Linked DNA regions of Mus musculus: region 1 is reported to be linked to region 2. Evidence: microRNA targets listed by miRTarBase, many of them from high-throughput screens and not tested one by one. Region 2 holds a microRNA gene; the other region holds the end of a gene's coding sequence.

Region 1 (4,000 bases), not on the chromosome of region 2:
ATGAGGCTATGCCAGTGCCTGGCAAATACAGAAGTGGATGCTCATAGTCATAAGATGGAACACAGGGCCCTCAATGGAGAAGCTAGAGAAAGCACCCAAGGAGCTGAAGGGTTCTGAAACCCTCTAAGTGGAACAATATGAACTAACCAGTGCCCCCAGAGCTCATGTTTCTAGCTGCATATGTAGCAGATGGCCTAGTCGGCCATCACTGGGAAGAGAGGCCCCTTGGAATTGCAAACTTTATATGCCCCAATACAGGGGAATGCCAGGGCCAAGAAGTGGGAGTGGGTGGGTAGGGGAGCAGGGTGGAGGGAGGGTATAGGGAACTTTCAGGATAGTATTTGAAATGTATATAAAGAAAATATCTAATAATAAATAAATAAATAAATAAATAAATAAATAAATAAAAAAGAAAGAAAACAGCTGAAAGTTTACTTGAAACCACTATTTCCCTTGTTTTCAAGATAGTTTCTCTATGTAACAGTCCTAGCTGCCCTGGAGTTTTGCAGACCAGGCTAGCCCCAAACTCACAAAGTTTCGCCTGCTCCTGCCTCTGGAGTACTTGGATAAAAGGCAAGTGCCACTCTGCAGGGGTTGGGTTGGTTTTCTGAAGCCAGGCTTTGTATAGTCTTGGTCTTGTATAGTCACAAGTTCTACAACTAGCTCTGTAGACCAGGTTGGGCACCACCTGCTTCTTACTCCTGAGTGCTAGGCTTAAAGGCATTTACCACCCCACTCCCTTTTCACACATACATCCCACACTTTTTTTTAAATGTGTATGGGTTTTACCTGAATGTGTGTATATGCACCATGTTAATTTTAATTTTATAAGTACTTTACCTATATGTACACCTGTTCACCATGTGCATACCCAAGGAGGCCAAAAGAGGTGTCAGATCCCCTGGATCTGGAATAGTTTGCCAAGTAGATGTTGGGAACCGAACCTGGGGCCTCCGGAAGTGCACCCAGTGCTACCAACTGCTATGCAATCTCTCCAGTTCCAAATATTTCCCTTTTATGTTTCTGAAAAAGCTGGAAGCCAAAGTTGTGGCTGAGTTTGTACACAATAGAAAACAGTTCTGTCTGCAAATACCTAAAAAAAAACCAAGTCCATATAAAGAATGTACTACATAGGCTGGAGTTCCAGCTCCATATTAATATACTTGCTGGATATGCATAATCCTCAGAATGGGACTCTGTTTCTCCTTAGTGGATTATTTACCACCTCCAACCCTCCCATCACAAAGAAAATAATGTTAATTCCTAGTATCAACTTAAGGAAACACTTCTGGTTGGACTGTTTTGAGCAATTCAAGAATAGGTTTCAATATAATGAGACAAACTACACCAAGCCATGTTAAGGGGAAATCATCCATTTTATTGTTTAAAGATCGCAAGACAACATCTGAATTTCTGGAGCACAATTTTAAATGCTTTACTTTTTCAATAAAGCAGAGTATAATAGGAAAAAAAAAACAAATCAGTTTCCAGTAATATCTATTACTCTATTCAGAATTAGGTCTTCCACAGATAGGTTACCTGGAAATAAAAGCCTGTTACAATAAGCAAAGCTTTAACCGCAGTGGCTACTTTTTGTGTCGGAAAAAAAGTTCATCCCTATAGGAGGAATGATGTGCTATGTAAATGGCCACAGATCTCAGCCTCAGCGGCACTCCAAGTCTATTATCCAATCCCACATTTAGTAGTTCAGTGAATTCTGAAAATCAGTTTACCTGTAACCATGCTGGCAATCTTTTAACTGATATTTATTCAGTTAAAAAATAAATTAGGAAATCTCTTAACTGATGTTCCTTGATTTACATTACTAAAGTTACACAGTTCACACAATGCAATTCTGCTATCAGAATTACATGAGACTTCTTGCTTAGGTTTTAATTAGCAGTAAGAATCACAAATTCAAGTTCTTAATTATCAATAATTTGTCAGCTAAGGTACATTCAGGCAATAGCTGCAACTACAGAATAGGTGCACTGCCTAGGTGCTTTGGAAAGACTTAATCTACAGCACTACTAACAGACAAGACTTATCTGTGAGTGGAGAGTCTAAGTGCAGTAGAGCAGTATAAACATACTCATATATTTAAGCCTCAAGCCCTCCACCCTTTACGGAAATGCAACTGTTTTCTACCATGAAGAACTCAAGCTCCGCGAGGGCCAATGTTTAATTTGTAGTCCAAACCAAGTGGTGGTACAATTCCCTACCAAGGCCGAATCCATAGAGTTTGAAGCTAAGTCCAGACATTCTAACACAGTCTAAAAATAAAATAACTGCCTGTATAGAGATGCTTCTTCAGAGCGGTGAACACCATTTAAGGTACTGGAGAGAACTGTAATTTACTAACCAAACATTTGAATACTTATATACTTACCTGGGATTTCATTTCTGCTGAAAGAAATGGGAAGAACAGGACTCACTTTAAAAAAAAAACAAACTTTAGAAAGGAAGGTAAAAATCTTATCACACTATTACTTTTGGAAGCAGCATAGGAGGGGCAGTCAAGGGCTGAAACACTGGTGAAACAGGTAAAACTTAGGCAGAAAAAAACCCTATATTATTATCAATAACAGTACCACAACTGTGACCTTCATGATTAATATTCACTCCTAAGAATTTTCATTTGGCACCAGATGGCATGTTCGAGAGAAACACCCTGGGATGTCTGAAAGCAGACATGGGTTTGTTAGCAGTCACAGGAGAATTTAACGGGAGCTGGGGTGTGTAAAACAGGCTGAAAAGTCTTAAGTCATCATCTAAACAAAGCACTGACAGTGCCAAGCATTAGGTCAGACACTAAAATGACTGATATAGGCTCATGTGGTTTATAAAACCTATAAAAAGACTACACCAGCAAGGTCCCTGTCACCCTGTCAGAGTTCAGACACTAAAACAGGAAGCAACATTTTAGTTTAAAACCTCAGAAGAATCAAGATCACTTCACATGAGTAAAAATACCTGAAAGCAAACATTTTTAAAAGCTCCAAAACCCAAAATATAAAGAAAAAAAAAAGGATCAGAAGACTTGATCAATCCACGGCATCACAAAACGGCTGGTTAATCTCTATCTCCCCTCCACATTAAGCATCCCATGGAAGACCAAGGGAGACCAGACCTTCCAGACCTGTGCACCACCTGTTTGCTGCAAAACTCTAAGAGATTCCTTGTGGAATAGCATTTCTTCTTTCTTGTCTCTCCCTATCATGCAGGAAGTAAGTCTGAATGTGCTATTCTATTATCATTATATATCATCCGTCTGCAACACAGAACTACACAGATACACACAAAGCATGTTATCTAGTTCCCTTCCCCCAGAAGGTTGAGGCTCAGGTATAGGGCAATTCTCCTGTGCGCAGTCTTTATTCAGGCTGACTCGGTGACTTCAACAGGCTTAATCATGTGGTCAGGTTTGTTGCCAGCTGCATAATGCTCCCACATCTGCAGATAAAGTCGCTCTAATTCCATTGTGTATTGTTTGGTGTTGAACAGAGGGCTAGATATTCTCTGTTTCCAGACTTTGCCACGAATTTTCTTCAGGCTAGGTGGTAAAAACAAAGAGAACCAAATTTACAAATCAGAAAACTCAGCACCAGACCGAATAAACACTTAGTCACTTCTGTGGCAAAATATGACCAAAGTTATACTTTTTCCAATTAGCCTGTCAACTTAACACAAACTAAAGTCATCTGGGAAGAGGGAGCCTCAAGTGAAAAACTACGTCCATCAAACTTGTCTGTGGGCATGTCTGTGGGACACTTTCTTGATTAATGAGGAATGACCCAGGCCAGTGTGGGCAGTGACAGCTCTAGGCAGGAGCTCCTTTGTTGTATTTTCTGCTTCAGTTCTTGCTTCCAGGTTCTTGCCTTGGCATGCCTTCATGGTGGGCTGTGATATGGATACCTAAGCCAAATAAAACCTTTCCTCTCCAAGTTTATTTTGGTCATGAGGCTTGTCACAGAATCAGCAATTTATTGAAAGATGGCTG
Region 2 (4,152 bases):
ATAATAAATAAATAAATCTTTAAAAAAAAAAAAGAGTACTGGCTGCTTTTCCAGAAGACTCAAGTTTGATTCCCAGCACCCATATGTGGGCTTATAACCATCTAACTCTAGTTCCAGGGAATCTGACACATTCCTCTGGCCTTTGAGATTATCAGCCATATACTTAAGCAAACACCCATACACATAAAAATAATAAATTTAATAAATACATTTAAGAAAATATTTAAACACAAAGTATCCTAGATTAGATAGATATTAACCTCAATTCAGCCAGCAGCTCTACAAAGCTTCTATGTTGCTTAAAATAAAGCCAATATTCTGAAAAATGTTTAATTAGTTTTCAAGACTTTTCATAAAAAATATTCAATAAATAGCCAGGCATGATGATACAACCTTTAATCTTAGCACTCAGAGGAAGGCAGGCAGATCTCTGAGTCTGAAGCAGCCTGCTCTACATAAAGAGAGTTCCAGATAAGGGGAGGGGAAGGAAGGGGGAGGGGAAGAGAGGGAGGGATGGGAAGGGAGGAGAGGAGAAAAAAATGAGGAGGAAAAGAGGGAGGGAGGGGGGAAAAGAAAGTCAATAAGTAATAAAAAATAACCACCCAAAACAAAGATCAGATACATCTGGCATTTTAGTTGCTCTGTGTTCTTCTAAAGATTTTTATTTTTTAAGTATGTATGTATGTATGTATGTATGTATGTATGTATGAATGAATGTATGTATGTATGTATGTATGTATGTATGTATGTATGTATGTATGTGTGTGTGTGTTTGTTCAAGTGCCTGTGAAGGCTTGAGTTGACAGATCCCTGCAGCAAGAATTGGTAGTTACAGATTGTGGTTAAGACAGGTGCTGGGATCAAAGTCCCGCCTAGAAAAGTACAAGTTCTTATCTGCTGAGTCATCTCTCCAGATACACTCTCTGTGCTCTAGTACACATAGAATTTTTACTTTTCCTATATGGGGAAAAAAAATCATGGAGCATCACTAGCACTTCTGTGGTAATTTAGCAGCCCATGATTCTCAGCTACTGAGTTTTGTTTTTCATCTTTTTCTCTGAAATATATGACTTTAGATGTATTTTCTACTATTACAGGCAAACAAGAAGGAATTTGCTTGTTTGATTTAGCTCTGCAGTAAAGGTTCAAATCTGAGACTGGTAAAGGAAGGAGAAAGCAACATATCCAACCAATACTGGAACAATGAACTCTGGTGTTCAAGTTCTGGCTATGGAACTCCGGGTAAGTCTCTGTTTCTTAAGGAAAACACGGTTGGAATTAAATATACAAATCCTACTACACATAAGTCCCCAGCATGTGTTATGGTCTTTCTTGTTTTTGTACATTAATAATTAAAGTATTACTACAAAATTGCTATATTGATGTTTTCAGAATGATAGCATTGAAAAATATTTCCACAGATATCCACTTTTAGTCAGCAATGTAAACTGCAGTCTCACAATCCTGCAGCTCATTTCTGCTTTATGCAAACTAACTTCACAGTGTAAGTACTGTTAACTTGAAATTTTGGGAAGAATGTGAGAGACCCAACAGCAGTGGTCCTTAGAATATGAGAGCAGGCCAAAGATGGGCAACCAAGCCAGCCTTAAGAGGACTCCATGGAACATTCAACGCTGTCGGTGAGTTTGGGATTCAAAAACAAAAAAACCACCGACCGTTGACTGTACCTTGGGATTCTTACAGACAACAAGTTTCCTGAAGCAAAGGAGTAGGCTGTACAGATATATCATGTGACAGACATCACAAGATACAGTCCTGTGGCCTCTTTTCTAAAGGGAACCAGCAAGTTTTTTTTTTAAGCTTCCATGTATTTATATTGTCTATTTTTTGTAATTTCTTGATAAATAAGTGTTTCATTTTAACAATTTATGGGAAGTGCCATCATAGTACCAAATGCACTCAAATATCTTCTAGAAATGTGTCATTCTAGTCAGAAATAGGGTGTATTAAAAATGTCTATTTACTGTAGGAAAAAAATCTAGTTAAGTCTTTTATTCTCATTTCTTCTACGTCCTTTCAAATTTTTGCTTTAGGGTCAAGAGATTTACTCAGCAAAAATACTCACAGAGTTACTCACTGTCTATACAAATCATATTGTGCCTCCAGTTTCAGTTACTGCGGTTAGGGATTTGACATCTCCATGAGAGAACCAGATACATTTCCATCTCCATGTGCTAATTTAAGGAATTCTGGGTCATCTCTGAGCCTCCGTATCCAAGTATGTTTTCTCAAATGTAGAATAGGAGAGGAGAGAACCTCAGAGTTTTAATTTAATGAGAAGATATATGAGGGTACTTTGAACAGTTTCTGGCTCACAGCAAATGTTTACTACAAAAATTTTTACTTAACTGCAATCATAATCTATACTGCTTTACCTTGAAAAGGGCACTTAACGTCTCAGCTTGAAACAAAAGATGAAGCAATGTCTCTGAGGGCTCCTTTACAGACATCAACATCCAAGTCTCAGCCCATGTGATCAGAGCTACTTACAAGGTTCTCACATAGTGCCTTCTTCCTCACAACTTTTCTGTCTTGAACAAGTTCTTGCTATACAGTCAAGGTGATCTATAATTATGAGTCCACAACCATACAGATGACTAGTTACTAACATACAACAGACTTCAAAGAACCATAGTGGGAAGAAGAGCCAGGAGATAGAAAAGACCAAGACAATTTCATCAAAAGGAAACATTGATGGCTGCACTCAACATTCATTGCTGTCGGTGGGTTTGAATGTCAACCAACTCACTGATCAATGAATGCAAACTGCGGGCCAAAAAACGCAAAGAAACAAAAGTACTCCCAGAGAGTCACCAGAGTACGGAAGTACTGCTCCAGGTGGGACCTCAATCTTTTATCTAAAGTCTCTTTAGTTTCTTTGCTTCTAATATGGAAGAAGCTCTATAATTCCTAGTATTTTTTATTTTCTTCTCAAATATTCCAAGTTTTGGGAAATTTATATTATCACAGGCAAAAGGATTAATATGCCTTGACATCATAATATTTAAAAATAATACTTAAATATACATAATTATTTTAAAATAAAAGTATATGAAAAGAATTTAAATCTATCCTCATCTCAAATACATTCCTTCTATGAAAACTACATAAAAACATCCATTTAATAGTATTACTCACACAACATAAAGAAAAATTTTATACCTTTGAAGACTTATCTACATGTATAAAAACAGAGGCAAAACTGTAATTCAGGGGAAGTTCAATGGCAACAAAAGGAACTCACTGCTCTTCAATTTACCTTTACACTCAGCTATATACTTTAAGCTTAACAAACCACATTTACTATTATTTTGGCTATTTGTTAATTGTTTTTGAGACATAGTCTTACATATCCTATGCTAGGTAGCTGAAAGTGGCCTTGAATTTCTGATCCTATGTTCTCCTAACTAGGATCACAAGTGTGTATCACCAAGCCTGGTATTGAAACCAAGGTTTTGTATGTGATAGGCAAGCAGTCTACTAATAACTGCAGCACCTGTACTTTATGTTAGTGTACATGTACATATTTTGGTGCATGTGTAAGCCAGGGTAGGTGTTAGGTGTCTTCCTTAATCACTCTCCACTTCATTGTCAAACCTGAGGCATGCCAGCAGGCAACCAAGTTCCAGGAGGCATCTGTCTCCACTTTCTCAAGTCTGTATGTTTCCATGGTGAACACTCACTGAAGAAGTCATCTCCCCATTGCCATCGATCCTTTCTCATTCTTTTGAATGACTGTATGTCTTCGTATGAATACTTTGGTTTTTATTGTTTAGACACATTAAAAAAAAAAAAAAAACCTCTCCTGGCCAAAACCATCTATTCTTACTTTCCCAAGATACGTTCTTATAACAAGAAAAACAGCCAAGTGAGACAGGAAACATTTTATGGTAACAAAAACTAAAGGAGAGTATCAATTCTCCAAATCCTATACTGTAAGATAAGCCACAAAATATTTCCTGCTAATGAAATAAAAACATGAGCCTTAGTTGTAAATTAATTATTATACAACTGAAGTCTAAGAGAAAGACAACAGAAGTGTCTTGTCAGTTTAGTGTTTCAAACTATCTTTGCATGGACAGGAAAGGAGAGAATACAGTTGTACAGAGACAAGAATCAAAATAACAAAAG

What was found. The annotated mature microRNA mmu-miR-181a-5p reads AACAUUCAACGCUGUCGGUGAGU and lies in region 2 at 1,624-1,646, shown strand. An mRNA with a match to its seed (bases 2 to 7 or 8) in the 3' UTR can be bound and repressed. Matches are read on the target gene's strand: a 7mer-m8 pairs with bases 2 to 8, a 7mer-A1 pairs with bases 2 to 7 and ends in A, and an 8mer does both.
Region 1: miRTarBase lists Ogt as a target of mmu-miR-181a-5p. Seed matches in the 3' UTR shown: 8mer at 1,954-1,961.

Annotation. Positions count from the first base shown.
Region 1 is chrX:101,681,709-101,685,708 of GRCm38, reverse strand. Ogt (O-linked N-acetylglucosamine (GlcNAc) transferase (UDP-N-acetylglucosamine:polypeptide-N-acetylglucosaminyl transferase)) reads right to left here. Exons shown (of 22, transcript NM_139144.4): 22 at 1,358-3,553. The coding sequence ends at 3,379. Among named protein-coding and RNA genes, the nearest start is that of Gm52429, 12 kb to the left of the region's middle.
Region 2 is chr2:38,851,118-38,855,269 of GRCm38, forward strand. It overlaps Mir181a-2 (microRNA 181a-2), which reads left to right and starts at 1,618; the gene lies at 1,618-1,693. The region is part of intron 3 of Nr6a1 (nuclear receptor subfamily 6, group A, member 1); the gene reads right to left. It overlaps Nr6a1os (a long non-coding RNA gene), which reads left to right. Exons shown (of 7, transcript XR_866167.2): 3 at 1,098-1,242. Mir181b-2 (microRNA 181b-2) reads left to right here and starts at 2,713; the gene lies at 2,713-2,801.